Oreochromis niloticus: one gene and its partners. The protein of the gene in region 1 binds, or shares a complex with, the protein of each later gene. Links are inferred from orthologs where the notes say so. Each region holds a gene or a part of one and is shown in the gene's direction. Other genes may lie near its edges.

What was found.
Region 2: pigq (region 1) and piga share a complex: the UniProt entries of both Homo sapiens proteins name them as parts of the glycosylphosphatidylinositol-N-acetylglucosaminyltransferase (GPI-GnT) complex. The link is inferred for Oreochromis niloticus from reciprocal best matches to the Homo sapiens genes PIGQ and PIGA.
Region 3: pigq (region 1) and pigh share a complex: the UniProt entries of both Homo sapiens proteins name them as parts of the glycosylphosphatidylinositol-N-acetylglucosaminyltransferase (GPI-GnT) complex. The link is inferred for Oreochromis niloticus from reciprocal best matches to the Homo sapiens genes PIGQ and PIGH.
Region 4: pigq (region 1) and pigc share a complex: the UniProt entries of both Homo sapiens proteins name them as parts of the glycosylphosphatidylinositol-N-acetylglucosaminyltransferase (GPI-GnT) complex. The link is inferred for Oreochromis niloticus from reciprocal best matches to the Homo sapiens genes PIGQ and PIGC.

Annotation. Positions count from the first base shown.
Region 1 is NC_031969.2:32,539,573-32,547,121, forward strand, and holds the start of pigq (phosphatidylinositol N-acetylglucosaminyltransferase subunit Q), read left to right. Parts: upstream 1-4,244; 5' UTR 4,245-4,324; intron 4,325-5,073; exon of another isoform or gene 5,074-5,202; intron 5,203-6,159; 5' UTR 6,160-6,197; coding exon 6,198-6,350; intron 6,351-6,540; coding exon 6,541-6,727; intron 6,728-7,100; coding exon 7,101-7,264; intron 7,265-7,396; coding exon 7,397-7,549. Other genes in the region: alg1 (chitobiosyldiphosphodolichol beta-mannosyltransferase), read left to right, coding at 242-376; protein-lysine N-methyltransferase EEF2KMT, read right to left, coding at 826-926, 1,483-1,632, 1,755-1,999, 2,077-2,210, 2,385-2,486, 2,609-2,689, 2,769-2,831, 3,206-3,313. UniProt on the Homo sapiens protein: Part of the glycosylphosphatidylinositol-N-acetylglucosaminyltransferase (GPI-GnT) complex that catalyzes the transfer of N-acetylglucosamine from UDP-N-acetylglucosamine to phosphatidylinositol and participates in the first step of GPI biosynthesis.
Region 2 is NC_031987.2:20,520,188-20,527,982, forward strand, and holds the start of piga (phosphatidylinositol N-acetylglucosaminyltransferase subunit A), read left to right. Parts: upstream 1-4,701; 5' UTR 4,702-4,799; intron 4,800-7,795. Other genes in the region: uncharacterized protein LOC102076210, read left to right, coding at 1,420-1,551. UniProt on the Homo sapiens protein: Catalytic subunit of the glycosylphosphatidylinositol-N-acetylglucosaminyltransferase (GPI-GnT) complex that catalyzes the transfer of N-acetylglucosamine from UDP-N-acetylglucosamine to phosphatidylinositol and participates in the first step of GPI biosynthesis.
Region 3 is NC_031980.2:5,869,732-5,877,636, reverse strand, and holds the start of pigh (phosphatidylinositol N-acetylglucosaminyltransferase subunit H), read left to right. Parts: upstream 1-4,719; 5' UTR 4,720-5,035; coding exon 5,036-5,212; intron 5,213-6,663; coding exon 6,664-6,873; intron 6,874-6,975; coding exon 6,976-7,059; intron 7,060-7,174; coding exon 7,175-7,249; 3' UTR 7,250-7,905. Other genes in the region: zfyve1 (zinc finger FYVE domain-containing protein 1), read right to left, coding at 1-112, 226-406, 612-782, 1,117-1,234, 1,392-1,489, 1,571-1,679, 1,813-1,919, 2,013-2,227 and 4 more. UniProt on the Homo sapiens protein: Part of the glycosylphosphatidylinositol-N-acetylglucosaminyltransferase (GPI-GnT) complex that catalyzes the transfer of N-acetylglucosamine from UDP-N-acetylglucosamine to phosphatidylinositol and participates in the first step of GPI biosynthesis.
Region 4 is NC_031986.2:38,718,525-38,726,208, forward strand, and holds pigc (phosphatidylinositol N-acetylglucosaminyltransferase subunit C), read left to right. Parts: upstream 1-4,599; 5' UTR 4,600-4,754; intron 4,755-5,399; 5' UTR 5,400-5,403; coding exon 5,404-5,631; intron 5,632-5,726; coding exon 5,727-6,383; 3' UTR 6,384-7,629; downstream 7,630-7,684. UniProt on the Homo sapiens protein: Part of the glycosylphosphatidylinositol-N-acetylglucosaminyltransferase (GPI-GnT) complex that catalyzes the transfer of N-acetylglucosamine from UDP-N-acetylglucosamine to phosphatidylinositol and participates in the first step of GPI biosynthesis.

The DNA of each region.
Region 1 (7,549 bases):
TTTATATAGCATGGTAGCTAGCTAGCATTAGCTGATACCTTAGCACTCCACCTTCTCTCTTCTAGCCTCAAAAAAACCAAACGGGGTGATCGACACGCTCAGAATGAGGCTTCAGAGCCCAAATAAGAAACAAGTGATATAGCAGCAGTTATTTCCATCTTTTACTTACAGTCTCTGATTAGGAGTCACCACCTTTCAGAAATTGAACCTTCTCATAAATGCTGAACGTTTATGTTTCCAGGCTCTCCTGTCAGATTTTCCCAGTTCAGACGGCAAACTGGGAACCTTCAGGAGGAACCTCCGCGCCAGCAGGGGACAGTGCTGGGATGACAACTGGGACCAGAACGTCCTTCCTCTAATCACTGCTCCGAGATAACTTTGGCTGTATTTAGAGAGCTAGACAGTGCTGCTGTTTTAAAACCATTTCTTTTATTCATGAAAGTCTCGCTTTCTAAGCCCTACTGGGCACGTGCAGTAGACATCACCATGGAAACAAGCCTTTTTTTCCTCGTATGCCGGGTGAGCACTTTTCATGGAATAAAGTAGGCCCAGCCTTTGAGTCCAGTATCCAGTGAATGCCTGGATGATATGAGCTCCAGTTACAGCAGAGTGAGAGCGCAAAGGACCAAAACTGTTTGCTTGGGTGTTTTATGATAAATGTACATTTAAAATTTAAATGGATCAGCGGGTGAAAAGACCGAAGTCTTCTGAGGTCTTCTTTTTATTCCTGACGTTTTTCCTTCTTCACTTGAATGTACAAAGGAAGTTGTCATGACGATGGAGATGTACATTTGTAAATAAAATCTTTATCATGCTCCCCCCGTGTCATCTGCACAGTTTGATGAGCTCTATAGCCGACTGTCTGTTATAAGGAAACACATGGTTGACAGGTCCTGGGATCACTTCATGGCCGACTCCTTCAGTTTCTGCCAAAACAAACAAACAAATAATGACTTTATTCAAGATGCTTTATACAAACCAAGGTCCTGCACTCTGTATAAAATCATCTTCATAGTTCCCCAAGCACGCCTCAAAAACAACTATTATTATTTATTCCCACTGTAACCAGGAAGTATCCAGGATCAAATCTGGCCAGATTTCTCTCTGCAGGCTCGTTTTGTCCACACTGGAACGTCTGAGTGTTTACTGTGAGCTGTCCCAGTTTCTTTTTGCTTCATTTTCTTTCATGAATTGTGGACACTGTGCACAGCTGGTTAAAGAACTACTTACTACAGCAAACCACAGTATTTTTCCCCGTGTGATGTTTACTGTTCATTTCAGGCAGCAAACACGTTTTTGTGTGTGACGCTGATGAAACTCCGCCGCCAGACTCGAGCGTGAGGTCGATAACGTGACGTTAGCATGAGCCAAAGAGGCACAGCAGAACGTTAGGTTTAAGTAAACCAGACTCTGATCAGCTTTAAGTCTGAATTAATCTGAACTATCTTCAGCACAGCCTCCTCCTCCTCAGCGTTGTCTTACCAAGCTGCTGTTTGAAGCCGCCGTACGTCTCCAGGTTCCTTATCGTGGAGCAGACGAAGACCTGAGGGAGAACCTCAGCAGACGAACACCTCATGACAATGGACAGCAGCTTCGCCAGACTTCCTGCAATGTCAGGGTCGTACACCACGTCTGCACCACGACAAACAAACAACAGGAATCTGAGAAAGCAGAGTGTCAAGAGCTCCATAAAAGCTGGAACAGACTGAGGTGTGTGAATGTGTGTCCACGCCATCTCGCTCCATAAATCTGACCTGCGGCGATGATGATGTCAGCCCCAATCTCCCTCAGCTCTTCCTCTGAGGTTGCCGTCCAGTCCAGCTTCTCCACGCTGACCGCTGGGGTCGTCTGCTCGCTCAGCCCGTTCAGCTGGACGTTGTCTCTGAGTTTCTGCAGCACTCTGCAGTGACAGTCACTGAAGATGAATCGCTTTGGGCTGCACGACCGACAGACGGCGATACCCGTCAACCCCGCGCCGCTGCCCAGCTCCAGCACCGTCCTGAAGGAGGAGGAGAAAATTTAAAAGCTGCAGAGGCTCCACCTGGAGGGCGACAACCTGCAGATCCTTCAGCTTACCTGCCAGCAAAGACCTGCTGGTTCTCCAGAGCCCACTCCGCCAGGTAAAGAGCCGCCTCCCACGTCACCAGCCCGGTGGTCCCCTCTGAGATCAGAGCAATGTTCTCCATCAAGCTCACAGCGCCACCAGCAGGCTGCGGGACACAAACATGGCTGCACTTCAAATTAAGACTCCAGCAAGCAACAGCTGGCAAAAGTAGGGCCGGGCGATTCAGACCAAAAATTAGATCTTGATATTTTTATGGCACAAAACAAATAATTTGATATAAAGGTGACAGTGACGCTGAGGGTTTTCCTGTGTGCAGTACCAGCAGGTAGCTCTTGTAGCACTCCGTGGTCTCCTCAGTGCCCACCACCTCAGCCAGAGCATCATACAGCTCATCCAGAGGTTCACAGCCTGAAGCTTCCAGCTGTGGAGGAAGAAACCAGGAAGCACACAGCCGGGTTTTACTCTGTGATCGAGTATTTCAACATCTTTCTGTCCAGAGGGAAAAAAACTCAACTAATAATCTGAGAGTTAACCTCTCCTTACCCGTCTGATGAGCTCGGAGAGAAACAGCCTCCTGTATCTGACTGAAGGTGCAAACTTCCGGCACAGGGGATGAAGACACGTCTGTAAAAACACGTGACTGTTCATTACACTAACGAAGCTGAGCTGTTTTAGGATTACAGCACGATGGAGGAACACTCACCTGTTTCAGCACCTGTGAAATGAGCTCTGATGACCCGCTGCTCTGAAGGTCTTTTTCTACAAACTGTAAGCAGATAAAAGTTATACAGAGGACATTACAGAGGTTTAAGTCACATTTTAAGTTCAATTCAAGTCATTCACATAGAGCCAAATCACAAAACACACGCCTCAAGGAGCTTAATATTATAAGGCAGACCCTACAATAACCCCAACAATCAGACGACCCCCATGAGCAAGCACTGGGCGACAGTGGAAAGGAAAAAATGTCCTTTAAAGGGAAGAAATCTCCGGCAGAACCAGGCTCAGCCGAATTATTCAGGGGGGTCCCCTGACTGATTTCATTGCTTTACTCGTGTTTTACAGGCAGCGGGTTTGTGGCCAGCTTTGGTGCTCTAATGCGCAGATTTCTGAATGAAGTTCGGCCAGTCTCATACTCACAGTCCAGGGAAACGAAGGCAGCCGACTCATAGCGAAAAACGACACCTGGAACTCCTTTAAAACCTCTCTAACTGAACCCTGCACTGAGGACTGCTCTGAAAGCGCCATCTTACACGTGTATTTGTTTACTTCCTATTTACCCATAATCCTGCGCGACCGTCTCTCGCTAGAGCCTCTGGGTAGTGAAGTTTATCTGTAGGTTTGAGCATAGTCTACCTTTTTTAAAGCTACAGAGAGCTAAGTGCATGTGTGTAAAACATACATGACATATTACACACTTCTTTTAAATTATTGTATATTTTTATTAGTGAACATTTTTTTATTTAAATGTAATGTTTTGTATTAATTGGAACTTACCTTCATTTTGAACCAGAGTGTGTGTTTTTTCTGGGGCTTTTCTTAACCTTTTTATACAGTTTCTGTTGCTCTCTGTGTGTTTTCCTTTTCCTTTTAGTTTGGAGGGTCTTTGGACATCATCACCATCAGAGATGCTGGAGTGCTCTGATTATGGTCTCATCATATTTTAGCTAAAAGGTTCAGGATTCAAGTCCAGCAAATGTGTTTTTCTACTTTTAAGGTCAAAATTAAAGGTTGCCATTCCTGTGGCTCTCCTCTGTATCATGAGATCAAACCTCCAGACAACCCACTTCTCCCGCAGGTAATCTTGTGCTTTAAAGATCTTCTGTGTAAGAGTTTTCTGAATTAAAATCATGTATACTTTTGTTTTAAGGAGGTTTTGTCTGTTTTGTTCGTATGCATGTTTTGTAACCTCAGAGTAAATTTCTGATCCATCAGAGCTGCTGGAGAGCTCAGCTGGTTCTGTCTGTCAGTGGATTTTAACACTGAGGCTCAAGGTTCAAGTCCAGCTGCAGTTCTTATTGAATTGAATCTTTCCTTTATGCCAGCTTCAGCAGCTCGGTGAGATGAATAAAAGGTCATTTTCATTTAGGAACCTGTGATATCTGCTGATATCTGAGAAGCTTTCAGTCAGATCTGCTGCTGTGGCCTTGAATCTTCCCGCTCTTTTCTTGCTGTGTCACTGCAGCCGCAGATAAAATCTCTTCAGTTGGACCAACTGTGCATTCACAGCAGCAGCTCCAGCACACTGAGCATTTACTGGTGAGTATGAGCTGATTATTTTTAAACATCAGTTTGATCATTTCACTTGGTTTTCTTAACAGAAAAAAAGAATCTAAGAGAAACTAACGATTTTGATTATTTGTGGATTTTTTTGAATCTCACTGTTGGGTCTATACAAGTTTTCCTTCCAAGCAAATTATAAATGTTGTTATAATATTATAATACATTATTATTATTTTAAAAAAGAATACATGAAGACAATGAATATAGAATGCTTTTCATAGAGGAAATAACCGTATAAATTAATTTTAAAAGGATTAGCAGAAACACGAATTACTGTTTTCAAAATCAGAGGAGCGTCTTGTGACCAATGCTGAGGCCTGTTAACGTGGTAAAATGTAATTTTAAAGCATACATTATAAATTCAGCGTAAACTGGAATTATTAGTAGGAAGAACTACATGTTGACTTTAACTGATTATTTTATTGTTCTGTGATGTTTTGGTTTGAAAGGTTTTCCCTGATGGATCAATACCTTCATTCAGACATTACAATTCAGAAAATCCAGATCAAACTATTATCAGCATAACAAGAAAACAACAAGAAATGTAAACTAATAGAGTGACTTTTCAAAATAACATTAACAATTCCCTTTCAAATTAATGCAAGACCACTGTTTAAGGAAGTTGTTAAAATATAAATTTAAAATATGAATTAAAAAAAACTTTGAAATATGTGAGACTTTTAATTGTTTCGAAAATTGAAATCTAATCGCAGTAAGAGGAACACAGCACAGTCATTAACGCGTGTTTCTCTCCGGAGCGTTTTATCGCACGGACTGTCAACAACTAAGATGGCTCCGGCGGCTCGTACGTAGCTGCAGAGGGAAGGTGAACTCTTGTTTTCGTGTTAAAGAAGGTAAAGGGTGCATTTTTAACACTCATGTCTCGTCTCCGCGGTGATGTTAGCCAGTTTGATGTTTCCGCTGTTTCTTCGAGCTTCAGTTCATTGATTTTAAAACACTTTTAACGAAAAATAATGAAAAATGCGAAGAACTTTGAGGTGGTTGTCAGTTTGGGGACACAATAAAGCAGCAGTGTGGGGTGTCACTCTTCTCTTTGACGTGTTGGGTAATTTCTTTATGCTCCCGCGGTTACTCTATATAACACTGCAGATAAAACTGCAGCTGACCGGCTTCGTGGTCTCGGAAATCAATGGCATTCCTGCCCCGGGGCTTCCTGTGGTGCTCCAATCTGATTTCTGATTGAAGGGCAAAAAACGAGGACAGCCGTCTCTAACCCTGTTCCGTTCTGTCGCCAAACTTCATTAAAAAATGGAAAATTGAGTGGTTTTCCTGCGGTAGCGCTTATACTGGAAAAGCAGGGATATTTTTCATTAAGAAAAACAACCTCTTTGTCTCCTCGGCAGGTATTTCGTGCTTGATTACTGTTTCTCTTGTGTATATACACACATGCAGACTGTTTCGCACACATGGATTAGACCTGTTCCTAAATGAAGAGAAGTATTCCGTGAAGGTGTCCCACTGAAAACAGGTCCAGGCTTAATCCATGTTTTTTAAAAGCTTTTTCCTCGATGCTTTACTTTTACCGCCATCTTTGATGTTGTAAAATGTTCACATAAATTGTATTTCAGAATTCTTTGATTTCCAAGTTTGACTTTTGTAATATATCTGCTGCTGGCAGTGAGTTTTCCAGTGTTAGACGAGTGTCTCAAACTGAGGTGTGGACACCAATGAGGGACCTGCACGCACTAATCAGCACGCGTATCTGTGATGAAGGATTTCTCCGTCAGGGCGGTAACTGTAAACTTGTAACTGAAGTTAAAGTTTACCTCTGCTTGTTTTATTTCCCTCAGATCATTAGAGCTGCTGGACTCTGAGCCACAGTGCAGTCATGGTGCTGAAGATTTTCTTCCCACAGTGCTGTAACCGGGCGGAGAGCGGGCTGCTGGTGGGCCGCTGGATCTCTGGTCATGACTCAGCCGTGGTGCTGGCGGTCATTCACTACCCCTTCATACCCGGGCAGGTCAAACAGTACATCCAGCAGGTTGGTGATTATAAAGAGGGAGCTGAGTCTTTGTAGGGCACTAGTTGTCCAGTAGGTGTCACCTTTGTGTTTCGAATGAAACACAATGCAGAGGAAAACTTTTAGTTGGATTGCAGATGATCAGATTAATCCATTCAGCAACGTGAGCCAGACTTCAGTCCCTCATCCTTCCTCTGTGTTCGTCTCTAAGATGCAGGCCCAGAGCGGGGTGGAGCTGACGGTACTCGGCTCCTGGAGTTTACCTAAAGAGGGTCAGGAGAGCATGGAGAGCTTCCTCAGGGACCTCAGCACCATCTTCCCCCAGCAGCGCTGGCTCCAAGTCAGTCGCCAAATGGGAAAGATGGGCTTCATCTGTGAGGTCGTCAACCGGAACCAAAGTAAGATCCTCAGACTGGAATCTGCTTCCTCCTTGGATTTTTCTTTTCCACATTTTTTTTATTTTGGACTGTGCTAGAGTAGCTTTGCATGATTCTCAGCTCAAAATAATCCTCATTTATCTTAAACAGGGCATCGGTACAGCTTAGCAATTCATCCTGTCTGAACTAAGCGGCTTTAGCTCCTCCCATTCTTTTAAGCCTGAAATGATAGTTCTCCTTTTTCACAGCTGTCTTTCATTTATTTATTTATCTCATTTATTTATCTAAGAGTTTGTCTCTGTTTTTAATTTTTTTTTTTTTTTTTTTTAAATAAAATGTCCTTTATTTAATTTGAAAGTTGCATTTCCTGTGCTCTGATTTTAATAACTTTCAGATGGGCAAGAAACTCAGCAGGAAGCAAAAAAGCAAAATGAGGAGGAGGAGGAGAAGGTGATCTTTGTCCACTATGAGCAGAGGAAGGTGATGCTGTCGCAGCTCCACCCCACTGAGAGCGGAGATCCTGACCCCAACACCGAGCCGTCGTCTGAGCTGAAACAGGTAGAGAGGAGAAAAAAGCTGTGATGTGTCCATGTTGGTGCAAAGCTCTCAAATCAGCTCCACCAACATGCGTCCAATCCCTGATGTGGGCAGCTGGTGATCTCTCACATGCTGCTGCTCTTCCTGTTGCAGGTGTTCCAGACGGTGGCACGCAGCCAGCCTCTGTTCTTCCTGGATCGCTATGACGACGGGCCGCTGAAGTCGACTCACTGGCAGTCTGAAGGCCGGGAGGCCAGCATCATCGTGGAGCTGCTTAAACAGGCCTCAGTGCCGCTGTGCATGCTC
Region 2 (7,795 bases), on another chromosome or scaffold:
TTCCACAATGGAAAATGGCTGAAAATCAAAAGGGTATCACTTTAGCCAGCTCCTAATTTTATAAATTCTTCACTTAGCTTTGCAGTCTCTAATATCATTGAAATGCAGTAAGAGGCCGCTCTTTTTACGTTGTCACCCGTTCCTTCACTTTCCCCCAACACGCTTGCATTTAAATCTGGTGCCCTGTCTCTCTGTGTACCTTGCTGTCTTCGGAACATCTGCCCCCTTTTCCTTTTTTCATATAGTGGTATAAGCCCAGTCTTTCATTGCATGTGACTGGCCACAATGATGTGCCCATCAAAATAAAACCCGCTTCTTTTGATGTCTTTCTTTTAGGGATGCAGCTATCAATTATTATTTTCTTATTTTTGTCTTGTCTTATTAATAGTCAAAAGACAAAAAAATGCAGGACTTTCAAAACGAACTGCTCATTGGTTTCTATTTTGGAAATTGCTAATTTCTTTTTGTTGTATCTGTCAAAAAAGGAAAAAGAAAACAAAGCCCTTTGTATTTATCTGCCATGTTAAAATTTTTATTTAAAAAAACCCATTTTCTTAAATTTAAAAATATATAAATACACTCAAGTACAGCCAAAGGTCAAAGTCAAATAACATAAGATATATGCACTGTAAACTAAGGCACAAACATAATGTACCTTTACCTTGTCTTTCTCAAGGCTTCATATGTTTTTGTACATTAGTTTTAAAATGTAGAAACACATGTGTGAATGTGAATGAGTGACTTTGTGTCTGTAAGCCTTTAAAGGAGAATCTGGTGGCTATAATGAAGAGAAACAACCATATCAGCATTCTGATGTTTGCCCTGTTCTTTGATGCAAAGCTTTTGTGATGCATGAGAAATATTTCGATCTGAAAATCACTCACAGCAGAACTGTAAAGCCCACAAGTTGTTTCTCAGTTTCTCTGTGATTATTGAACTTTTGTGAAGCAGCAAGTTCTGTGTTTTCCTATTTTGTCAAGTTTATTTTTAATAATTTAATGCAATTTAATACTGAACTTATGATTGGTCATCTTTTCTGTTGCAGGTAAAGGCATTCCTGTCACTGTCAAAGGCTTTGAGAAAGGCGATGTGCTCCTGCCATGTGATTGCTCTAATAGAGATTTGAATAAGGTATTCAAGTGGCAAGTGGAAGAAGATGAGAAGAGAGGGGTGGAGACAAAATTGATCTTCAGCTATTATAATGGGACCTTATATTTTAAAGGAAACCCGTCCCACCGATATGAAACATTTTTTCATAACGACAGCAGTAATTGTTCTGTTCTATTAAAAAACATCACAAAAGAAGACCAGGGAAAATACAGTTGTCGTTTTTATTCTCCACAATACAGATTTTTTTTTGTGAATCTTGTGGTTTTGGGTAAGTCATCCATCGTGGATACCAACAATCTTTTAATACTCATGAAATTTCATTATTTTAACAAAAATCATCTCTCACCAGGGTCACATATTTTTCAGCACAGGGAGACTCTTCCAAATGGTGGAAACATTTACCAATGTGTTGTAAAGCTTGACAGCTACAAAGAGCCTAACATTCACTGGACATTCACACCACCTCCAACATATTTATCCAGTTTAGTTCTAATATTATACACCGTGAGGAGTCACTGGGAGGAGAAAGTCTGTGTACTTTGGTCTGAAAGTGACTCTAACAGCAGTTGTGCTTCAAACTAAGAATCTGAATGGAAAAATGTCGGATTTATTTAACTTTAGTGAAGCAGCAAGTTTTATGTTTCCCTAGTTCGTGACATTTACTTTAGACAAGTAACATTTAATTAAACAAATAAATCTACATTATGAGTTGAATAAAATGTATATTTTGATAGACTCTGATACCTGGACCTATAATTGGTCATCTTGTCTGTCGCAGGTGAAGGCATCACTGTTAAAGGCTTTGAGAAAGACGATGTGCTCCTGCCATGCAATTGCCCTAACAGAAATTTCAATAAGGAGTTCAAGTGGCAAGTGGAAGAAGATAGGAAGAGAGGGGTGGAACCAAAATTGATCTTCAGATATAATGATGGGACCTTAGATTTTAAAGACAACCCGTCCCACCGATATGAAACATTTTTTCATAACGACAGCAGTAATTGTTCTGTTCTCTTAAAAAACATCACAAAAGAAGACCAGGGAAAATACAGTTGTCGTTTTTATTCTCCACAATACACAGTTTTCTTTGTGAATCTCACGCTTTGTGGTAAGTTGTACATTGTGATTACCAGCAATTTTTGAATACTCATGAAATTTCATAATTTTAACAAAAATCATCTCTCACCAGGGACACATATTGTTCAGCACAGGGAGACTCACCCAAATGGTGGAGATGTTTACCAATGTGTTGTAAAGCTTGACTGCTACAAAGAACCTAACATTCAGTGGACTTTGGATGGAACGTGTCTGTCAAATTCAGCCACGACTAACATCTCCCCCACATACAACCTGGATGAAGAAACTGGCGTCCACTATTTTCACAGTAGACTCGAGACTGAAAGCAACTTCACCTCAGAGCCTAAATGTGAAGTCAATGTCACATGCCCATCTGGTAATTATTCATTTTAAATTGTTATTTCAGCAAAGATTGATCTTAGGGGTTGCCTGGTACTTCTACCACAATAAAAGTGCTGTGACATTAAATGCAAAGACGGTAATATTCATGATACATGTAACTGTGGAACATTTCATAATATCAATTATTGTATTTTTTTTCTTTTTCCAGGAAATGATCCATATTCATTAACCAGCCTGGACCCCCTTTTCAGGATATTATTTAAAGGGGTCCCTGTTGTTTTGGCGCTTGGATTTTTGCTGATTTGGTACCGTCGTGGAACGTCTCACAGTGAGTTTTGTTATGCTACATTTACTGCATTACTGGTTAAACCAGAGTGACTCTGTTGCTCTTTCTGCAGCTTTTTATCAGCCACTAACAGTTTTGATAGTGTTTGTTGATATTTGGCTTTGTTACAGTGTCTCTCCAATAATTTAATCTTTCATTTTCTCATTGCTAAGGGTTTCCCGGTGAGGGAAATGTGTAAAATGGTGACTTCTCAGACAAACACAAACTCAGACGAGCCTCAAAGTGAGGATATGAAAGTACTTTATTCTGAGCCAAAGGAGGTGATTAATCACTGCTGATGCAATACTGGCTGTTTGCAAAATCTAGTTTTCATCTTTTGTTCCTGCTCATGGAAACTACATCTACTTTGGAAGCTAAAGGAGGAGACTATTCTCTGTATGCCATTCATCAGATTTCCTTGGGAAGAGTAAAGTCTGAGCTATATATACCAGATGCCAGGCTTTGTTTTTTGTTTTTATTTTTTTTTTAACTTTTATAAATAAGTAGGTTTAGGGTAATGCGTATAATGTATAGTTAATAGGAAAAAACACTCAGGAGCCAAGTAAGAAATTTTTAAATGATGTTGCTTAACTGTGAAACATCACTGTACTACATAGCCGTGCAGCTCTGGTCCCTTTTTGGGAATTAGGTCATCAGCCTTGAATCTGTGACTGCAGTCTGGACAGTACGTCAAAATTTGACAAATGGAGAAGTGTAATGAAATGTAAATGTGTGGCCCTTTTTCAGCACCAAAAAGAAAAGTATATTTTTAAAAAAGAGTAAAACAAACATTTTGTTCAGCAATAAAGTTTTTTTTTTTAAACTGCATGATGGGTAACTTTTATTTCCTTTTCAGATATTTCATTTCTCTTTAATGAACCATGAACACAAGCACACCACATGCTTCAAGAAGAACACAGATCCTGTTTTTGTGTTGTTGTTGTTTTTTTTTGGTCAAGTGTAGCACACTTTCAGAGTACTCCATCGCATAAAAGTCCTGCATGCAAAACTGCAGTATCAACAAAAAATGTTTTTGTTGTGACAAAGTAACAACATGCAGTAGATGTCTGCTGTAACTAATGTGACATGTGACACACAGTCACATCAGGACATAATTTAAAAATGAAGTAAATAAAACCTCAGATATTACATCGTGTCATTTTTTTGGGATTAAAAAATAAGCCAAATACAAAAGCATGTGTATTAAATCAAGTACACAGTATGATTCAAAAGATCGTATAGCCAGTTTTACTATTGTGGCTTTATCAGTCTTTCACATCACTGTAGAGAAATATTTGACCGTCTGTTTCCATTCATTCATGTGTGACTCTTTTTGAGGTTCTGCCACAGCCAGTGAGTCGAGATGAGGGCTGAACTTTCGACTGAGCCATTACAACATATTTATTCTTTTCTTTTTAAGCCACTCATTACTAGATTTGCTCTTGTGTTTGGTATCATTGTTGTGTTGCATGATTTTGTGTCCACCAACCTTTATCTATCAGACAGATGGCCTCACATTTGACTCTAGAATCATTTTGTATACAGAGGAGTTCACGGTTGAATCACTGCAAGATACCCAGGTTCTGTGGGTGCAAAGCAAGCCAAAATAATTACCCCTCCATCACGGTACTCACTATGGTCTTATCTGTACAAAGGACATCCCTCCAGAAGTCTTGTGGTTTCTTCAGGTGTGTGTCTTAGCACACCTGAATGCTCCAGACCAGCAAATTGCTCAAGCCTCTGCTCTCAATCTCTGAGGCTCAATTAGAGATAGATACCACACATCTATAAAGATCTGGCGGTACACACCGTTAAACCATATGCCAGTTACAACGTTTCAAGTGACGTAGAAAACACCAAGAAGTAACACAAGCGGCCAAGTGGCTAGCTCGAGGCTAGCATGTAGAAATGAAATCACATCTGGAAAAAGACTGACTTTCCACCCACGGTAAGGCAGTTTGGACTGTGAAAGCGGTCAGCTTGATGCTTGTTAAGGTTAAATGCGAAAGGGCGTTTGTCGCCATAATGTAAACATAACAGACTGCGGTCAAGTGAGCCCTCACTTACGAAGTCACAGTCAAGCTAGCCGCCCCGCCAGCCGCACCTAAAATGTGGTTGCACTACTCTTACGTATATTACGGTACGGATGAAGACCGGCTAAGAAACGCAGTCTTTTGTGTCCTGACACTATTTTACTTCAATATCCACTCCCAGTTTTGGTTCATCTCCACTTTTCACCCCACGATCCACAGCCAAAATTACTGTACGATTCAGCGAAAATTAACAATAACATTTACCCAATATACAGTACTGTACTTTTAATATCTTCAACTTTGACCTCAGATTACAGGAAAACTGTAAGAGGTGACGCAGATATTTCACTGGATTCTGACTGTGGGTGACCCCCACTCTTCACCCTGTCATCCACAGCCAAATTTACTGTACGGTTTTCCAGTAAATCAATAGTGAACTTTACCCAAATTACTGTACTGTTTTCTGATTAAATTAAATCCTAATCTATTACTGAAGAAAATGAGTTCATTCAAGTATTTACTTAACTACAAGAAATTTCTTTCCACACAAAATTTAAATTTTCAAAACATCATTCACACACCACCTCAAGTAGCAACTTTAGTTTTAGACATTATTTATTCAGCGCTTAATCACAACAATAGTCACCTCAAGGCACTTTACATAATAAGTTAAACCTTACAATAACACATACAGAGAAACACCCAACAATCATACGACTCCCTATGAACAAGCACTTTGGCGACAGTGGGAAGGAAAAACTCCCTTTTAACAGGAAGAAACCTCCAGCAGAACCAGGCTCAGGGAGGGGCGGGGCCATCTGCTGTGACCGGTTGGGGTGAGAAATTACATTTCTCATATTACAGATTTCTCAGATTACTATTATACAGTTTTGATATATTGTTATTCATTATCTGTCATCACACAAATCAACCCAAAAAATCAAAAAGGAAATACTTAAAATACGTGCTCAAAGCAAGAATGTTATACATATTGTGTTTTACACATGTGTTCCTCAAAACACCAATAATAACTATAAGCAGATTATTCTAGTAGCTTTCACTGCATGTGGAATTAGGTTACACAAAGCACCAGTGATGGGAATAACGGCGTTACAAGTAACGGCGTTACTAACGGCGTTACTAACGGCGTTACTTTTTTCAGTAACGAGTAATCTAACTAATTACTATTCCTATCGTTACAACGGCGTTACAGTTACTAACAAGGAAACGCGGTCCGTTACTATTTTTCAACAAACAGACGGTTGAAGCTGTGTTCAGCTTACCGCATCTTCTGGACGCTACAGCTTTAAGCAGCTGCGCGCTCCCGCGGACGGTAATCACGAGCACTGTCCAGCACAACACCTGGAGCTCAGGGGGCAAAACAATCGCATGAGTGCTGCTGTTTGACTGAGGAAGAATAAAGTAGTCGTGGTAAGCCAATCACATGACCACTTAAAGACAAAGCAACAAGGTGATATATACCAGTTTTTAAATTGTGTCGATAGGCCACGTAAAACTAGAGTCGTGATAAACAAGATATACGTGGCGTTTTTTCCTCAATAGTTTCACCACGTTAGCGCTAGCAAGCACTCTCTGCTTATGAGCAAAAAAAACAAAAAAAAAAGTTTTAGGAGTGACGGAGAGAGAGAGAGAGGGAGAGAGCAGGAAAAGAGAGAGAGCGAGTTTTGAGATGTGAGAGATTTGTGACGTTTAGCGTGTTTGTAGTGTGTAGTTAATGTGTTGTCTTGTGTAGTTAGTGTGTAGTGTTGTGGATAGTTTTGTGTTGTGTGTCAGAACAATGAGGCGACTGCTGTCTCCAGGTAGAAACAGGAGTGATACACCTGCTGCTTTCAGACCTGCAGGTATCAGGCTGTGATGTTTTCCTTTATAGTGGACAGAAATTATTTTTTTGGAGTGGCACAAATAATTTGTGTGGCATCTTATTGAATGCAGAACAGCTGATTGTTCTGTAAATAGTTTGAAATGGTTATTTAAAAAAAGTGTAAAAGGTAAATGGATGCAAATAACTTTGTTGTTTGCAGAACTTGTGCATAGGATTTTAAAATTGACAATTAATATGTTTTTTGTCTGATTTTAGATCAATTCTGGTTATACAGTATGACAAAATGAGAACATAACTGTAAATTCAGGCACGTGAGGTTGCGCTAAAAAGAATGATACCAAACAAGGCAAAGTAAATAGTTTTTAAAGGTAAAATGTGGAGGGAAAATCAAGAGTAGTAAAAAAATGGCCAATTATACTCTGGACGCCAGAGGGTTAAACGTTCTTTGTTTTTTTTAAAAGTAACGCAATAGTTACTTTTCCAAGTAATTAATTACTTTTAGAATATTGTAACTGAGTTACTAACTCAGTTACTTTTTTGAAGAAGTAACTAGTAACTATAATTGAATTACTATTTCAAAGTAACTTGCTCAACACTGCAAAGCACACACTTCCACTCTGTCTTCTGAGCGCTGCTGAGCTGTTCATTTGTCATGTCCAGGCATTCAGAATGGAACCAGCAGTTGCAGTTATCACACTGAATCTGTAAACAAATAACATATGAGTTTTCATAAACACATGAAGTAAATAATTCTATGATTTCATAAATTACAATCCTTAACAACACAGAGTCAAATACTTTGTTGTAGTCAAAGGAATTTGCAAAGAAAAGCGTCTGGACTTCTTTAAGTTGCTTGAAGACGTTTCACCTCTCATCCGAGAAGCTTCTTCAGTTCTAAGGTCAAATGGCCGAGAGTCCCAGATTTAAACCCAGTGGGAGTATCCCCCCAAAGAGGGACAAAGGACCCCCTGGTGATCCTCTAATCACATGAGCCAAGGTGTGAAAGCGGCTGTGGGACCTAATCAGCCAGGGTTTCGGGTGAGCTCATTGTGAAACCTGGCCCCACCC
Region 3 (7,905 bases), on another chromosome or scaffold:
AGAGGTATATCGATGGCACCAACTACAGCCCCCAAAGTGTTCTGAACAGCCTCTCCAACCTTCCTCGCTATCAGAGTGCCTCCCTCCTCCTCCAACGCAGCGTCCAGCAACTCTACAACATGCACACATCAAATCATATCATGTTGTGAACACTAAAACCATCTGAACCAGCCCGGCAAACAATACCCCACTCTTAAATTCCCACAGAGAGACTCATTTGTGTACCAGTTGGAATTCCTCTGTTGTGGAAACACGCGTCGCAGACCCTAACAGGCGCAAGACCCCAGCCCCTCTCAGGGACCGGCCGGGTTTTGGAGGAGCAGGCGTCACAGAAGCCCTCTCCACAGGCACGGCAGTGGTGCTTGGTGTCGTTGGGCTGGAACTCCTCCCCACATTTATGACATTTCTACGGCACAATAATAAGTAATGCGATTTATCAGCATAACAGTAACATAACAGGAACACTGCAGCATGTCAAATGTCAACCTACATTGTCTTGATGGGCTATCACCAAGAAAATGTTTTACTTACACAAGTGATGTTTCATTTACAACTACACATTCTGGGCCTGTGATTCCTTATATATAGTTAGCTAAATATTGGTTGCATACCAGGATGAGGGAATTGGGTTTCCAGTAGGCAGGAGCAATCTGGTCAGTAAGCCAGGAAGTGACCGCTTTGGCAGGCTTGACGCTGAGTTCAGACACAGACTGAGAAATGTATTTGACTCCGTCCAACAACCTCTGAGCAGCGTTGTTGTTGTCTTTCAAAAAGCCATCTGACTGCATAGAACAGTGTAAAAACACATAATTACAGTACGCCATAGAAGTTGTGTTTATACAAGCGTCCCTCACAATTATCACTAAATACTGACAACAGTGCTGACAGAAATACAATGCCTGCCTTACCAGCTGGCGTTTGCACTGCTATATTCAGACTTGTGACTAATTATGCTTAGATCAACATGTTCCAGGAGAACATGCTGCGTTACTTTTCTGGATATCTACATACAGTATAAGCCACTCGCCTCATAGTGGCCAAATTCATATGACTCAAAGCAAACAAAAAGTGAGCTTTTAGATTCCAATGGTATAAGTGAATTCAGCGTGGCCTTACCCCAGGCCAGATGTGCTGGATTTCTGTTCTGACCACTGTTTCCACTGGGTCCTGGTTTCCATACCAGTACTGCCTGCTTCTGTAGATCACTGAACAGTTGGGACACTCAATGACATACCTGTAAAAAGACAAAACCATCTCAGTTTCAGCACAGGGAGGAAAGATTCCAGAGGTGCCATACACTTTTTATATCAACTGTGCTCAATTGTTCTTAAAACTTTAAAGGCACGTATGAGGATATTTATGAAAAATCATTCTATACTCGCAGGACTCACCCTGACCAAGCGTAGATGGCCAAGCCAAACCACGGTGAGTCAGACGAGGCCGTCGTTTTGGGAACCACTATGACTTCCTTTCCCCTTTCGTAGCAGGCCTGAGAAGTTCAGCACAGTTGCTCAAAACCTTGTCAAGCAGGTATACTTCAAACGTGGCGTAGATGTATGTTTGTACTTGCCTTGCATGTGTAGATGCGGTTGTCGTACTGTGCAGAGTACCGGCAGCGATGTTTGGCTTCATGGTCAAGACCTTCCTTTAGGTGATTCATGCTCCTCTTACAGCCTGACCTGAAAGTTGGTGCCCAGCAAGTCAGCAAGTTTTACAAATAAGTAAAAGTAAAAGGTACTGGCAGTGATGATGCTGTAGAAATCTGACTTAAAGTATTTTTGATATTTTTTTTAGCAAAGCAGGGACACTTACCCACAACTGAGGCAGATGCTGGAACAGGTAAAGTATTCATCTGGAAAGAAGGAGTTACTGTTCATATGTTCATCTGGAATCTCCCCACTGAAGCGCTCACTCAGGGCCTGAAAGAAGGCCCCAGGTGGAGATGGGAAAGGTATAAACACATTTGCACTCGCTATGCCAAAACATACTTTGTTAAATGTAAGCACAGCTACCTGCAGGGCCTTGAAGATGACACTGGCAGATCGTGGTGAGCGTGTCGTATTGTTGTCCAGCTGCTGCTCCAGGCTGCGGAGCAAACCACTGAAGTCCGTGGGAGGGTTGTAGGTTCGAGTCCCACGGTACTGGATGGAGCTGAATGCTTCCGGAAATAAGCCCAGCTTCCTGAAACGCTCCTGGAGAAGGCGCTCAGCAGATTCTGAGGGCGTGTCTAAATTTGGAGTACACATACAGATGGAGACAAAGGAATGAGGCGGTGGTTTGTGTGCTTATCTTTGAAAAACACTGAGATGAGACAGACTTCTTTGATGTACCTGATCCTAGAAGCTTGGTGTGGACAGTCTCGTGGAAGATGATCACCGCGGGGCCCAGGGTGGACAACGGTACATCAAGACCACAGCGAGTGGTAGTTGCCTTTAATTCTCTAGTGAAATGTTTCAGGTAGGCATCTGATGCATCACCAAGGAACTTGAAGAGATCGTCATGGAGACGGTCAGCATGTGTCCGGTAGATTACCACATCAGAGATAGCCAGGACCTTGAGCAGCAGCCGAGTTCTCTGACCCTGATTAGCCCCTGATCAAAAAAAAAAGAAAAAAAGAATCATGAATGGGTGCCTGCTTCTACCCCCATTTGTTTCATAATATTAAATAAATCAATAATTTCATACCAGCTCCAAGCAGTCCCTCTGTATCGATGACTACAACCCGATGCAGAGGGTCCATAGCTGCCCAAACACCCACAGTGCAGGACTCCTGAGTGGGAGACGTCTTGAACACTTCTCTCCCAAGAAAGAACGTATGGTTCAGGGTGTAGGATTTTCCCTCACCAGTGTTCCCAAAAATGGAGACCACCTTGAGGAGCTCATCTGAACTACAACCCAGTCTGCTGACAAAGTCCTTCTCATCCTTCACCTGAGAATGCAGATAAGATCAGCTCAATCGTTGTAACGCATCATTAATAAAACACCATCAAACGCTGGGTACCTCAACAAGTGCTTACCTGCATTTCCTCCTTCTCATCCACTAGCAGAAAGCTGCACACCTTCTCCAGTTTGGATTTGAGGATTTCCATGTCACTCTCCCCAGCACTGACACTGTTCTCTTGAGGAGCTTTGGCAGGTGGGTAAGGTACCAGAGGGTGCTTTCTCTTGTTGACTCCCCCATGGGTGCGTTTTTGGCAATCCAAACACAGGTTGATCTTACAGCCCTGGCAGCGGACCACCGCTCTGAGTCTGCCAGAGCAGCTGCCATCCCCTTTGCAGGAGTCACAGAAAGGAACGTGGCCCGGGGCGACCCGAACCCGGTCGTGATTCCTCATGCGCTCCTGCCGATGTAGCTCCAGTTCACAGCGAGCACACTGCAAGCTGCCACACTCATCGCATTCAAACACAGCCTCGTCCGAGCCCCCACAGGCATAGCTCTCCTGACAGACCAGGATGGTGTTCATTCCTTTGTTTACAGCTGGACCTTGACCACTCATCTCAAACCTGTGAGGACAGGAAACCCCTGGTGTGAAAACAAGTATGAAGGATTACTGTGGGTAATTGGGACGGCAAAAGCACTGCAGAAGAGGGCGCAAGGTTATGGAACCGTTTTGTGAATCTATATAACCAGATGTCAGATAACCTGTTTTGTTGAAATACTGAAAAAAAACAAAAAACAAATTCACTCATGAGCAGTACTGTCAACAAAACGATAGCAACCTATGCCCCTTTTCTCTCTCCTTACTTTTTAATGGGGATATTCAGTTTATTGAAACAGCAAAATTAAACACACAAAACTCGGACTAGTTTGTTTACCTTTTGCCACAACAGCTCTGTAGCTAACAATAGCTGTCCGGCATCTGTTTTCTTGTTCTGGTAACGCTAACTTTCTACATGAGAGTATCCCACACTGTTTGATACATTAAAATGCCTAAAAACAGGCCTTGAAACTCAGTAGTAAAGAGTCATTAGCTAACAGCATTCACACAAAGAGACACTCCTGAAACAAACAACCTTCTTTTGAGTCGACTGACCTAACAGTTGCTACCAGTCCGACGGCTGACTCGTTAAATAACCTGCTGGCTCGACACAGTCTAAAAGTGGACACGTACACTACCTAACACCATACCGCCGAATGCCACGGAGAGCTGACGCTGGAGGGGGGGCAAAGTTAGCTAGCTGTTATTGTGTCAGACCCCTGTAGATGTTGCTGCTTTTACATCAGCTGATCGGCTTGTTTTTATCCAGAGGTCAAAAGTCACGGAAACACAAAGCATTTTGGGAAACGAAGGACTTACAAGTGACATGGAAAAGCGCTCGCTAAAGACGAGCTGTTTGTAACCTGTTTATGGCACATACACCAACGTATACCCCGCATTTGACATTTACAGACTGTTTGACGAAAGCTGTGGACCAGCTTGAGTAAACGACGCGGAGATATCGACGAAAAATCAATCGTTGCCCATAATGCTTTGCTTTTTCCAGCGGCTATAGGGTCTGCTTTTATTCAATACCAGCGTGTGCCGTAGGCACAAGCTGAGACGGAGACAGAAGCTGAAGCTGACACTTATCTCGTTGATATCAAACGAAGAATATAAATGTCAAACTTACAAGTTGTTCTATGCATTAAAGTACATTTAGTTGTTTTATGAACTAGTTTTTCCGCGGTCTTTTGCTCTTGTGTGCGCGAGAGCCCCCTCACCCTTTCTGGACACCCCGGTGTAAAAAACAGTGCAGCCACATGAGTGGGGATGGATTGTGGCACACGACAGTTGTAGTTGACTCTTTAATTCAGCTCTTTAGCTATTTTTTTCCTTTTAATTCAATTAAAGCATAGTACTTTAAGCAGTTTTCTTTTTTCGTCATCATTATAAATTTATCACCGCCTGTCTTAATGTGCTGCTGACTCTGTCTATTCGCAGTTAACAACTAATGCTAGCTCGGTGCTAACTTAACAGGATAACCGTGTTGACAACATACACCGGTCATCACTCGTCTTTTATGCTCATTCACCTCTTTTTGTTGTTCAGTCATCATGGAAGACGAAGCCTTCACTGACATTAGCGGTAAACCAATCTCTCTGGACTGTCAGAGTCACTCCAGCTTTTGCAGGGAGTTCATTATCAGCTCCCCAAAAGTGTCCATGGGCAAAGTGATGGTATACACCTGCTCCGTGTGGCTTCTGGCGTATGCAGTGTTCTTCTTCACCCAGGTAAGATGATGAAGGCGAGACCAAAGTGATGCAGATTTACTGTCAAATCCTTCTCACTGTGGGGTTGAGATGCAAAGTTTCTGAGGACAGCGAGACAGTGGTGACGTGTGCGGTGGGAGCCGCAGATGGCTTCAAGGTGGGGTGGGATTGCATCAGGGATCTGCTCTGAGCCCCTTCTTGTTTGACCGCGGTCTTGTTTGCGATGATGACGGTCAGGCAAGAGTGTCCATAGACTGATGTTTACAGAGACACGGTGATATTTCCAAGCTTGACTACCATGACCTGGATGCATCCATCAATCAATCCATTCATTCGCTTCCACTTTTCCAATTCAGTGCCGCAGGGGGTGCTGGATAGGTCCGCAGTCTGTCGTAGGGCTACCACAGACAGATAGACAGACAACCATTCGCTCTCATATTCACACCTCTGAGCAATTTAGAATCACCAATTAATCTAACCCAACTAATTGCATGTTTTTGGACTGTGGGAGGAAGCCTGAGTACCCGGAGAGGACCCGCGCTGATATGAGAGAACATTCATACTCCACACAGTAAGGCCCCCTCCAGATGGAGGGTGGTGGAATTAACCACCACCACCACTAGGTAGATATATATCGGATAAAGGATGTTGAATATGGAGCTGGCAGGCACGAGGAAATGAGGAAGACCATAGAGAAGATTAATGGATTTACATGAAGAGGATTGGTGTGACAGAGGCAGGACAGGGTGAGATGGAGATCGATGATCTGCTATGGTGATCCCTAAACGGAGCAGCAAAAAGAAGACATAATACAGTTAGAAAAGTTCTGTCTTTCTTTCTTTCTTTCTTTCTTTCTTAAAAATACTTGTTGTAAAATTGAAACACCACTTCCCACCACGAGGGGGCAGTATTTTAAAAGAAAGTCTCAATCTAGTCGCCCGGTCTAAGATCCAGATGGTGCACTTTTTAAGTTAGCGCAGTAATTTTACAGCATTTTTTTTAAGGCTCTGGGTTCTTTCTGTTCAAAGCCGTGCTTGTTACGTGAGCGTCCAGTGTAATCATTTATTCCACTTTTCCAGTGTTGAAAAGATAGTTGGATGTTTACTGTTGTTTTGTTTCATATCATTTCTGTTCTTTCCAACTGAGCGTGGTTTCTTTCCGGGAGTGGGTGATAAAAGTCACTTTTCAGGTGCATCGGCCATTGTTTGCTGATCCATTCACTAGGATATCTCTCTATCAGCATTTCCTCTTCCTCTCCTGTTGGAATCGGGACTGGATGCCACACCATTAGTGTGCTGCAAATTGGCATCATGCAAATGTGCGCTCAAAGTTTTGTTTAGCTCTTCAACTCAGTATGTAGATGTTCTGTATATAATGTCATTCTGTTGATAGCATTAGGTACTTTTGGATGGTTGTATACTATTTTAACTTACAATGATTATTTTTAATGTAATACTTTTCCTCTCTTGCAGAACACTGCCGTTCTGTCCGGCGCTATTCTTGTCACCCTTGTTGGCATGATGCTTCACATCCACTTTGTGAAGGTAGACCATGAGTCCCTTCTTGTCATTGGCTCCTTAGGCATCCAGGTGTCCTCCAGCTATGCCTCGGGCCGCGAGATAACCACTTTCATTGAGATGAGCAAGATCAAGGATATAGTCATCAATGAAGCTATTTACATGGTGCGTTGTTGAACCTGTGCCTCTGTACTTGACATTTTCTCATACAGTTATTCTACAGTTTGCCATGAAAGATTTGATTAATGTCTAATGCTTTTATTTCAGCATCAGATCATCTACTACCTCTGTGTACTGTTGAAGGACCCCTCAGAGCCCGATGCAGTGTCAAGTGTTGTGCCATTGTTTCAGGTGAGGATGAGCATATCTCAAGAGCCTGTTTAGTTACTTGATTACCTGCAGGGCTGTTGATGTGGTGTCATTCATAGGAACCTGTTTTTAATTAACTCTATTTTTTTCCCTTTAGAGTTCAAAGCCAAGGCTGAACTGCTTGGTGAAAGTCTATAAAAGCTGTCAGGAGATTCTTTCAAAGTGCCAATGAAGCGCATGTCATACAGGAACACCTGAGGTCATTCACCATGTTTTTCTTTTAGCCTCTTCCTTGTTTGTGTTGATACGTCTTAGGTGTATTTTATATACATTGCATTTCTTAATGTTTTGCTTTAAAGGATAATGGTGTCATAATGTTGTACTGTGTTACATGATTAATTTAAAATAAATAAAACACTGGTCTTGACTACTTGTTTAAACCTAAAAAGCCAAATTCTTTAACTTGCAATGTAACTTGTAATGTAAGATCATAAAAATAATATTTAACCTTATAGTTTTTTTTATATGCTTAGAATTCCACAAATTATACAAGTTTGTGTATTTTGGCACCATTAGCACACTCTTTTGTGTATTTGTTTTTGTCCCCCCCCAAAATTCATAGAATATAACAAACCAATATTCATTAATTACATAGATATTGGTAGTATTTGCTCATCTTTAAAAGTTTCTGTTTAGTTGTTTAGTTTTACCAGTAGGGGGCAGCACTACTCACAAACATTTGGGTCCATGCATCAGTTTTTACAAGTGATTCAAATGTACACCATGTCCTGTTCTTTGTTGGCTCATTGTTTAATTTCCATGAATTGCTTTTGAATGTAATCTCTGTGATAAAACAAAAGCCTCAGCACAGTTTTATAAGGCAACAGT
Region 4 (7,684 bases), on another chromosome or scaffold:
CTTTTAGGCCGTTGCAGCTTGAAGGAAACCCCAGGTTTGGAAAAACTTATGACTCTCAACTTTACATACAACCTAGCTCTGTCTTTCTTGAAAAAACATGCATCTTGTTTGATAGTTCCCCCCAACTGCTGTAGTTCATCAGTGAAAGAAGCACATTTACAGTGCTACTAGTTTTCTAATGGAGCCAGGCCAAATGCAAAAATGTCTTCTTTTTTTCTCCTTTTTTTTATAAAAATTTTATTTCAACATGGGTTAAGCTAAACTAGATGAAGGAATGGTCTGGGGCCTGTTATTTCTGTCAGATAGGAGTGAGAGGTGCTGCCAATCTGTTACTGTGTCTTCACCTTAAAATAAGATGCCTTATTCATTTGGATTTCGCTCCCAGCCTTTTGCCTATTGGTGAGGCCTTTGAATACTCTTCTTATTGCCACAAACATTTGTTGTTACAATTCAGCCACATGTTCCCCTTCATGCCAATACTGAAAATACAGGGCTGCACTGCAGTGCTGCTCTTTGGCACCCAAAAGACTGCAAGAGAAGGAAACGGGCATCTCCAAATCTCTTTATAACTACTGCCCTACTCTTCTCTGCCGTGATTTGTGGACTTGTGGCTTGAATGGCTGCCAGCCAGCCAGCGCTGCCGCTGTGAAGCCTGTCTGCTGCTGCTGGGTGTCTGCTTACAGCCACCTACTGTGTGAAGATGTTGAGCCTGCCCGTCTCTCCTGTGACAGAAGTCTATTTCTATCTGAGTGACATCTGGAAGGTCATTGCCACTACTTCAATGCACTGGTTGGTTTAATATGCACAAGCCATCCTCTACCTTGTGTTTTTTTTTTTTTCTTTTTTTTTTTTCTTCAACATACTTTTCCAGGTCCTTGCACTGTCTCAGATGAACCACATTTTGGCAAACACAAATGGGTCCACAGTCTACACGGGTGGAATAACACCAGTTTGTTACCTGTTACTTGTATTGTATTAATCTGCTACTGCGGTTGTAGTTTGTATTGATGTTTATTCATCTCTAATGTGGAACCCTGGCTGCTCACTGCCTTGGCTCGATGCTTCATGTTGCAGTCTTCTGATTTTTGCCAAGTGCTGTAAGGTGAAGATCATACAGTGAGTTTATGCCTTTGTGATTTACACTATCTTTTGTTAGAAGTGAATAAAACCAAACTGAGTAGACCAATTGGTTTACAGTTATGACATTTTGCCACACGGTATGTGCATATGTCAAACACAAATTCTTTGGATGCCTATAATAATATTGGATGTCTGGTTGTGAGAAATGGTCATCATCTGCCTCAGTTTCAGTGCTTTTCCCTATTCTCATGTATGGTTGCTGTCACTGGTATTTACGTACTGTATGTCTGGATTCTAATAAGTGACGTATTGGTAATAAAAATATTTTTTGATCAATTTTTAACATGCTTTCAGAATTCTACAGAAACAAAAGAACAACATTTTTTAAGCATTTCTATGTTACCGAGTAATAAAAGTTTGTGTCTACAGCTTCATTGTCTTTGAGAAATGTTTTCTTCCATAAAGCAGCAGTGGCAGAAGAGGGAAAGTGGCATCATATTTATTTAGCTAATGTCCTGCAGTTGTAAATGTCTGCAAATTAAACAGCTTTACCTTTTTTCTGACCTCTGCATTCTGTTGTGTGATATTTCATCCCAAAGAGTGATACTGTGATTCAAATGTGGATTAAAAACAGAAATTATCTTTGTAATCGATGCAAAGCCATCATATTCGATGCTCAAAGTGAGAATTTTTAATTTTTTTGGTTAACATATGCTAATGACAGTAACATCTTTCAAAAAAGGTGAGACAAGGGCAACATCAGGTGAAATGTTCCCACAGCTAATTAGGTTTATTAGTAATAGGGATGGGTATTTGGGAAAAAAAAAAAAGAAAAAAAAGAGCATCCCCTAGAGAAGTGTTGAGTGTTTCAATAGGCTTAGGAATACTTTGCAAACTACAGCATGCAACCATGCAAGGTGTGCTGCCTCTCTTGGCCCAGGACATTTCAGCAAAAGGGATTTAAAAACGCAAGACTTCCTGGCTAAATGATAACTGAGCTGTTGTCAAATCATTCAAAATTTTATTTGATCTTTTTCTTGGATGGTGTATTCTCCAGGCTAAAAAATACCATCTGGCTTGATCTCACTGTACTGTTAAAAATACCAGCATCTGTGACAGTATATAGGGGCGGTCATGCATACAGCAAGGCCAACTTGTGCATCTGCTAAACAGATTTTGGTATACAACAAATGCTGCCATCTAGATGATGTCTGTTTCAGAGAATGCTTCCTTGGGTCAGTAAGACAATGCAAACCATGTTCTGGCTGTATTATAGTAGCTACATGGCAACCAGCAGTCCAGACCAGTCACCAAAAAAAGAAAAATACAAATTTACAACAGTTTCAACAGTCTCACTTGGAGCATTTGATATGTTGTAAATATCATCTTTTTCCAAAGCATCCAAACCTTTTTTTGGAAACAGCTTTATGAATAGACCTTCTTTTACAATCATTTCCATATGTTTCTGCATACAGTAACAAACCTGGTTTTACTGTATATGAGTGGGGTGTATAAACCAGTTATAAAGATGCCTGTAAAATACCTAGGGTATCTGTAAGCATAATTTACCCTGTCGTGAAGCTGCTTGCTTTTCTGACATGTCCTTCGTGGTGCGGTGGTGCAGAGATGTGATGATCAGACATTTTTGTAGCGTAGTAACACAGGCCCTTCCAAAGTACAGTGGATGCAACATGGTGGGAAGAAGCAGAATGGAAATGTTAATGCAACTTACTTGCTTTAGTCAACACACAAAATATCATGTTTCATGATACTTACGGGCCTATCACACCCTGTATGCAAGACCCTGTACTCCTGGGAACACCATTATGAAATGATTTCCTCTGTAAAGTCAAATATAGAACAGATGTGGCAAAGATTAAATCATAAAGTAATAATACAAGAACAGCTACAGTCATTAGAAAAAGATGACATGAATTTATTGGAAAGTGGAAGAGTAGAGAATGTAGAAACCTTGTTGGGAATTAGGTGTTCTTTTCCAAGGTTTCTTTGTGTTGGCAGAATTTACCGTGTTGGTCGGCGTTTGTGGCTCCTTGACCCCGAGCTGGAGCTGACATGACTGCTGGCTGCCTGAGCTGTTGTCAGGGAGACATGAGGCTGTGGTCTACACTTTGAGAAGCTGTTATTATCACGATACAGACGAGCGTATTGATTAATATCACAATCAACAAGACAAACAATTTTAAAATTGTTTGTCTTTTCATTAGATAGTCTTTTCAGTAGATAGCACAATAATTGTCATTATTGTGCTATCTACTGTACAATATAAAGCGCCTTGAGGCGACTTTTGTTGTGATTTGGCGCTATATAAATAAAATTGAATTGAATTGAATTGAATAAAATTGACATCAACTATTTCCACTCTAAGAATATTTTCCTAGAACTTTAAAATGCCTGATTACCTTTTTGAAGCCACTTCGGTCTGTGGGTTTGGTCTTATAACTTCAGCACAGAATGGGCTACGTATGGTCAGCACAGGCAACTTGCAAAAGAAAAGATTTACTGTCATAAAGTGGACGGTCAGCGCCAATGTGCTTTTCAAACAAAGCATGGCTATTCAAAGATACCAAAGTTGACTTTTGAATCCTGACATATAAAAAAAATCAAAATCAAGGGGCATACCCGTTCAGACTGGTGAATGCAGATGAAATTCACACACACACACACACACACACACACACACACACACACACACACACACACATATGTATACATATATATATATATATATATATATGTATATCTATCTATCTATCTATCTATCTATCTATATATATATCTATATATATATATACAGGTCTAAAATATAAGAGCATAGGCCTGTGGCATGCTAACCACAGAATATTGTATCAGATCGTAAGATTCCCTGCAAAGATGCAGTCACATTCATGAAGAGAGCAAGAGAAAGAAACCCAGATTTCATATATGAACATTTATCATACTGTATATAATAGGCAATTCTAATGATATTAGTACCAGTACACGTGGGAGTAGAAGGAAACATTTAGTATGCAGACTTTCATGATGCCAATCTGGTATAAACAATTTTGTTAAAGAACTGAGTCAGGATATGTGGGGAAAGGTGGAAGAGGAGTTCTTATTTCCCAGAAATAAGTAGAAAGAGTAATCCCCGGTTGTGGGATGAGCTAAGTCTCCACATTACTAGCTCGCTCCCAAATATGTTCAGTGTCCATATCCAAATATCCAAGTAATAACTAGAAACATGGAAGCTCAGAGACAACCACTGAAGCAAATACTCGCTTCAGAGGTTGATTAAATACCTGAGAGCAGAGTTAAATAAACTGTATTTATTCTTTACACCTTGCTTAATTATAATATGTATTCTTTTTTTCTTCATTTAGGTGGAGCTATCATATTATTATTATTATTATTATCATTATCATTATCATTATTACATATTATATCGTACAAAATATATAATAAGATGTTAATAGTCTTGGACTGTATTAATGACATGTAAAAATGTCAAGAAGAGCCTGACCAGCAGACAGTAGAGGGCAGCAGCACGCTAGTGTAGCTACCTCAGAGAGCGCCAGAAGAAGAAGAACAGGGGGCGCTGCAGCTAAATCGCTTTACTTCCGGGATACTGTCAGGATGAGATTGTAGCGTCGGCGCTGAATAAAATCACATTCCAGGTAGGTGTAAAACACCTAAGAAATATTTTTGTAGGTATTTCAGTCAACTCTCAGCACATTATTGTTTTTACACTCGTGCGTACCGGAGATGCGCGGGCTTATTGTCCCTTTTTAAACCGGAAGAAGCAGTAGTTTTATAATAGACAGACTCAGAGATTATATCCATTCACTTGACAGCAAAGAAAACGCTTTAAATGTTGTTCAGATCCAACATTTGTTTGGCTAACAGAGCTGTGGGTGAACTACCTAAAAACAACATAATATTATATCAGCTTTAGAGCTTTTGAAGTCTTTTTATGAACCCAGAAAAGGACCCTGGTTGGCCTGCTACTTTAAGCCTTGACTGTAAGGCTTAATATGTTTAGTAAAATAATGATAAATTCCCCTAGCCACTTTGAGTCAAGTCATGTCACAAAACAGTAGTAACTTTAACCAAAGGGCTTTCCAGTCGTGTAATATTCAGAAATATAATGTGTTTATAATGGGACATTACTGGGTAAGCAGTGCAAAAGACTACGAGGAAACCACAAATAATGAAAACCACATAACGAAGATTGCAGGTACGACAGATCATTTAAGTAGTGGATGAAACGCCCCTACTGGTCTCAACCTCCCCACCGTCTGTGTTTTGCGTGTTGAAATCAGGGTGATGGGGCCAGATGGTGCCCCAGGTCCAGCTGTGCCATGGCGTAAGGTGCTGTGGGAACGCCAGCCTTTTCCAGATAACTACGTAGACCAGCGGTTCTTGGAGGAGTTACGCAGGAACGAGGGCATCCGGCAGTACCGCTACTGGGCTGTAGTGAAGGAAGCCGGATTTGTAGGACAGCAGCTGTCTTGTGTGGCCATTTTTATCACCCTCTGGCTCTACATGGAGCAGGTACTGCTTTGGGTTTTTTTCCCCCCCAATCTTTGAAGGACAAAGTGTCTTTACCAAATGGAGCGGGTTATTAAAGAGCTCTGCTTTCTTCACAGAGTCTGCTGCCGCCTGAGACGTTGCTGTGGTCCAGCCTCATCTGTGCCCTACTGGGTTATGGACTTCATCAAGCCTTGACATCTCGCGTTGAATCATGTGGTGAACCCCGCACTCATCTGGCTGATTTACAGAGTGCAGCCATTTTCCTTTCCTTCACCTTTGGCTTCTCGCCAGTTCTTAAGACACTAACAGAGTCTGTGAGTACAGACACTGTGTACGCCATGTCTGCTTTGATGCTGCTGGCCCATTTGGTGTCGTTTCCTTACGCCCAGCCATCGCCTCCTGGAAGCCTCTCTTTAAATGCAGCTCTGTTTGCCTCAGTGTGCTTAGCCTCTAGGTTACCCGGAGCTCTGCACACTTTCGCCATGCTAAGCTGCGCCCTGCTGGTGTTTGCTCTGTGGCCCTGCCTGCTGCAGACGCTGAGGGAGAACGCCCCTGTCCATTTTACTGGGGTGTGCATGGGAGTTTGCATTGGAGGAATAGTAGGTCTCGGGTCTCAGACGCTGGGTGGAGCTGTGCTCTTAACCCTGGCTTTAGCAAGTGTAACACTGCTCTGTCCTTTCCTGCTTGTCAGGCTGCAGAGGCACAAGGACAACATTCATGGACCCTGGGATGAGGCTGAGATTCGTGAGGACCTGAGCCGCTTCCTTCACTAATAAGCAGCCTAGCACAAGCAGCTCCTAAACAAACTGATATTAAAGGTGTAACTGAATTTTATATGAACCAATTCACTGTCATAGTGCTGGTTTCTTGGTGCTCTGTGCATGTAAAAGGACTAATTTTAACTGTTTTTTTTGTTTTGTTTTGTTTTTATCACTGGTTCATGTATGATTGGAAAGCAATGTCAAACTATTACTCTCTTCCAGGTAGTATGAGGATGGTTTTTAATGTTTAAGCTGCTACGGTTTTGTAATTTACCTCAGAGTTTGTGCGAAAGGTCTCAACTAATAGTATGACTTGTTACAGGATGTTAATGGTTTTCAAATCTCTGTAAAGAAAATGAAATGGCATTGACCTGAATATAAACAAGGGCTGTAATTCCATTTTCCTCAAATTATTTGTAAATATTAGAAGACTTTTAGGATTTCATTGTCTATTTTGGTAATGAGAGTATTTCTTCAGTGTTATTTAATACAATACTACAAGAAGCTGTTTTTACCTGCTCCACACTACAAGCTAAATATAAGACATAGCCTCAGTTTTTAGAGTTACCATGACCCTTGTTCACAAGTCGTCAGCACAGCAGGTTGCTCCTAGTGTTTGATTTGGCAGATTTTTACACCAGGTGTCATTCTTGATTTAAAAGCCCTGGAAGGGATTTGTCTCCTTCCAGGGTTAAACTGGGTTGCGTTCACTTCAACTACTACATAGTGGAGCTACACACCCCATATAATGATAACTTCATGAATCTTGTAAAATATGGTACTTTTTTGGGGGTCATGTTTCAGTTGTTATCAAACTTTCTGTCCTTTACTATTAAGGTGTTTGTAATAAAAAAAAACAAACGACAACAACACACAAAGGGACAATATGTTGTAACATTGTCGCTGTGTTGTGAATTTAAATATGGCCCTAAATATGAAATGTGTCATCAGCACTGAGGTAAGAAAATGTAGACGTTTTCTACAATGAAAAAGATTAAGGTCTTTCATGTCGCCTTCCGTTCAAATCCCAGTCAGTGACGTCACATCCGATGAGCAACACCTGTTGACCAGGTGTTTTCGGTCGACAGAGAGCAGCATGACGGGAGTTTGCCTCCCTAATTTAGTCAAATTTCCATTTGAAAACAACTTTATCCTGATGACCTCCCAGTTTGCTCAGCACACAGTGTGAAACAGACCGGAGTTTCTCTGTTTATTTTTTAATTTTTGTCTCAGATTAAAGAACAACTACATGGCGAAACATTGTCTCCTCTTGCTTCTTGCTTTAAGTGCAACATATAAAAAACAAAAATTTG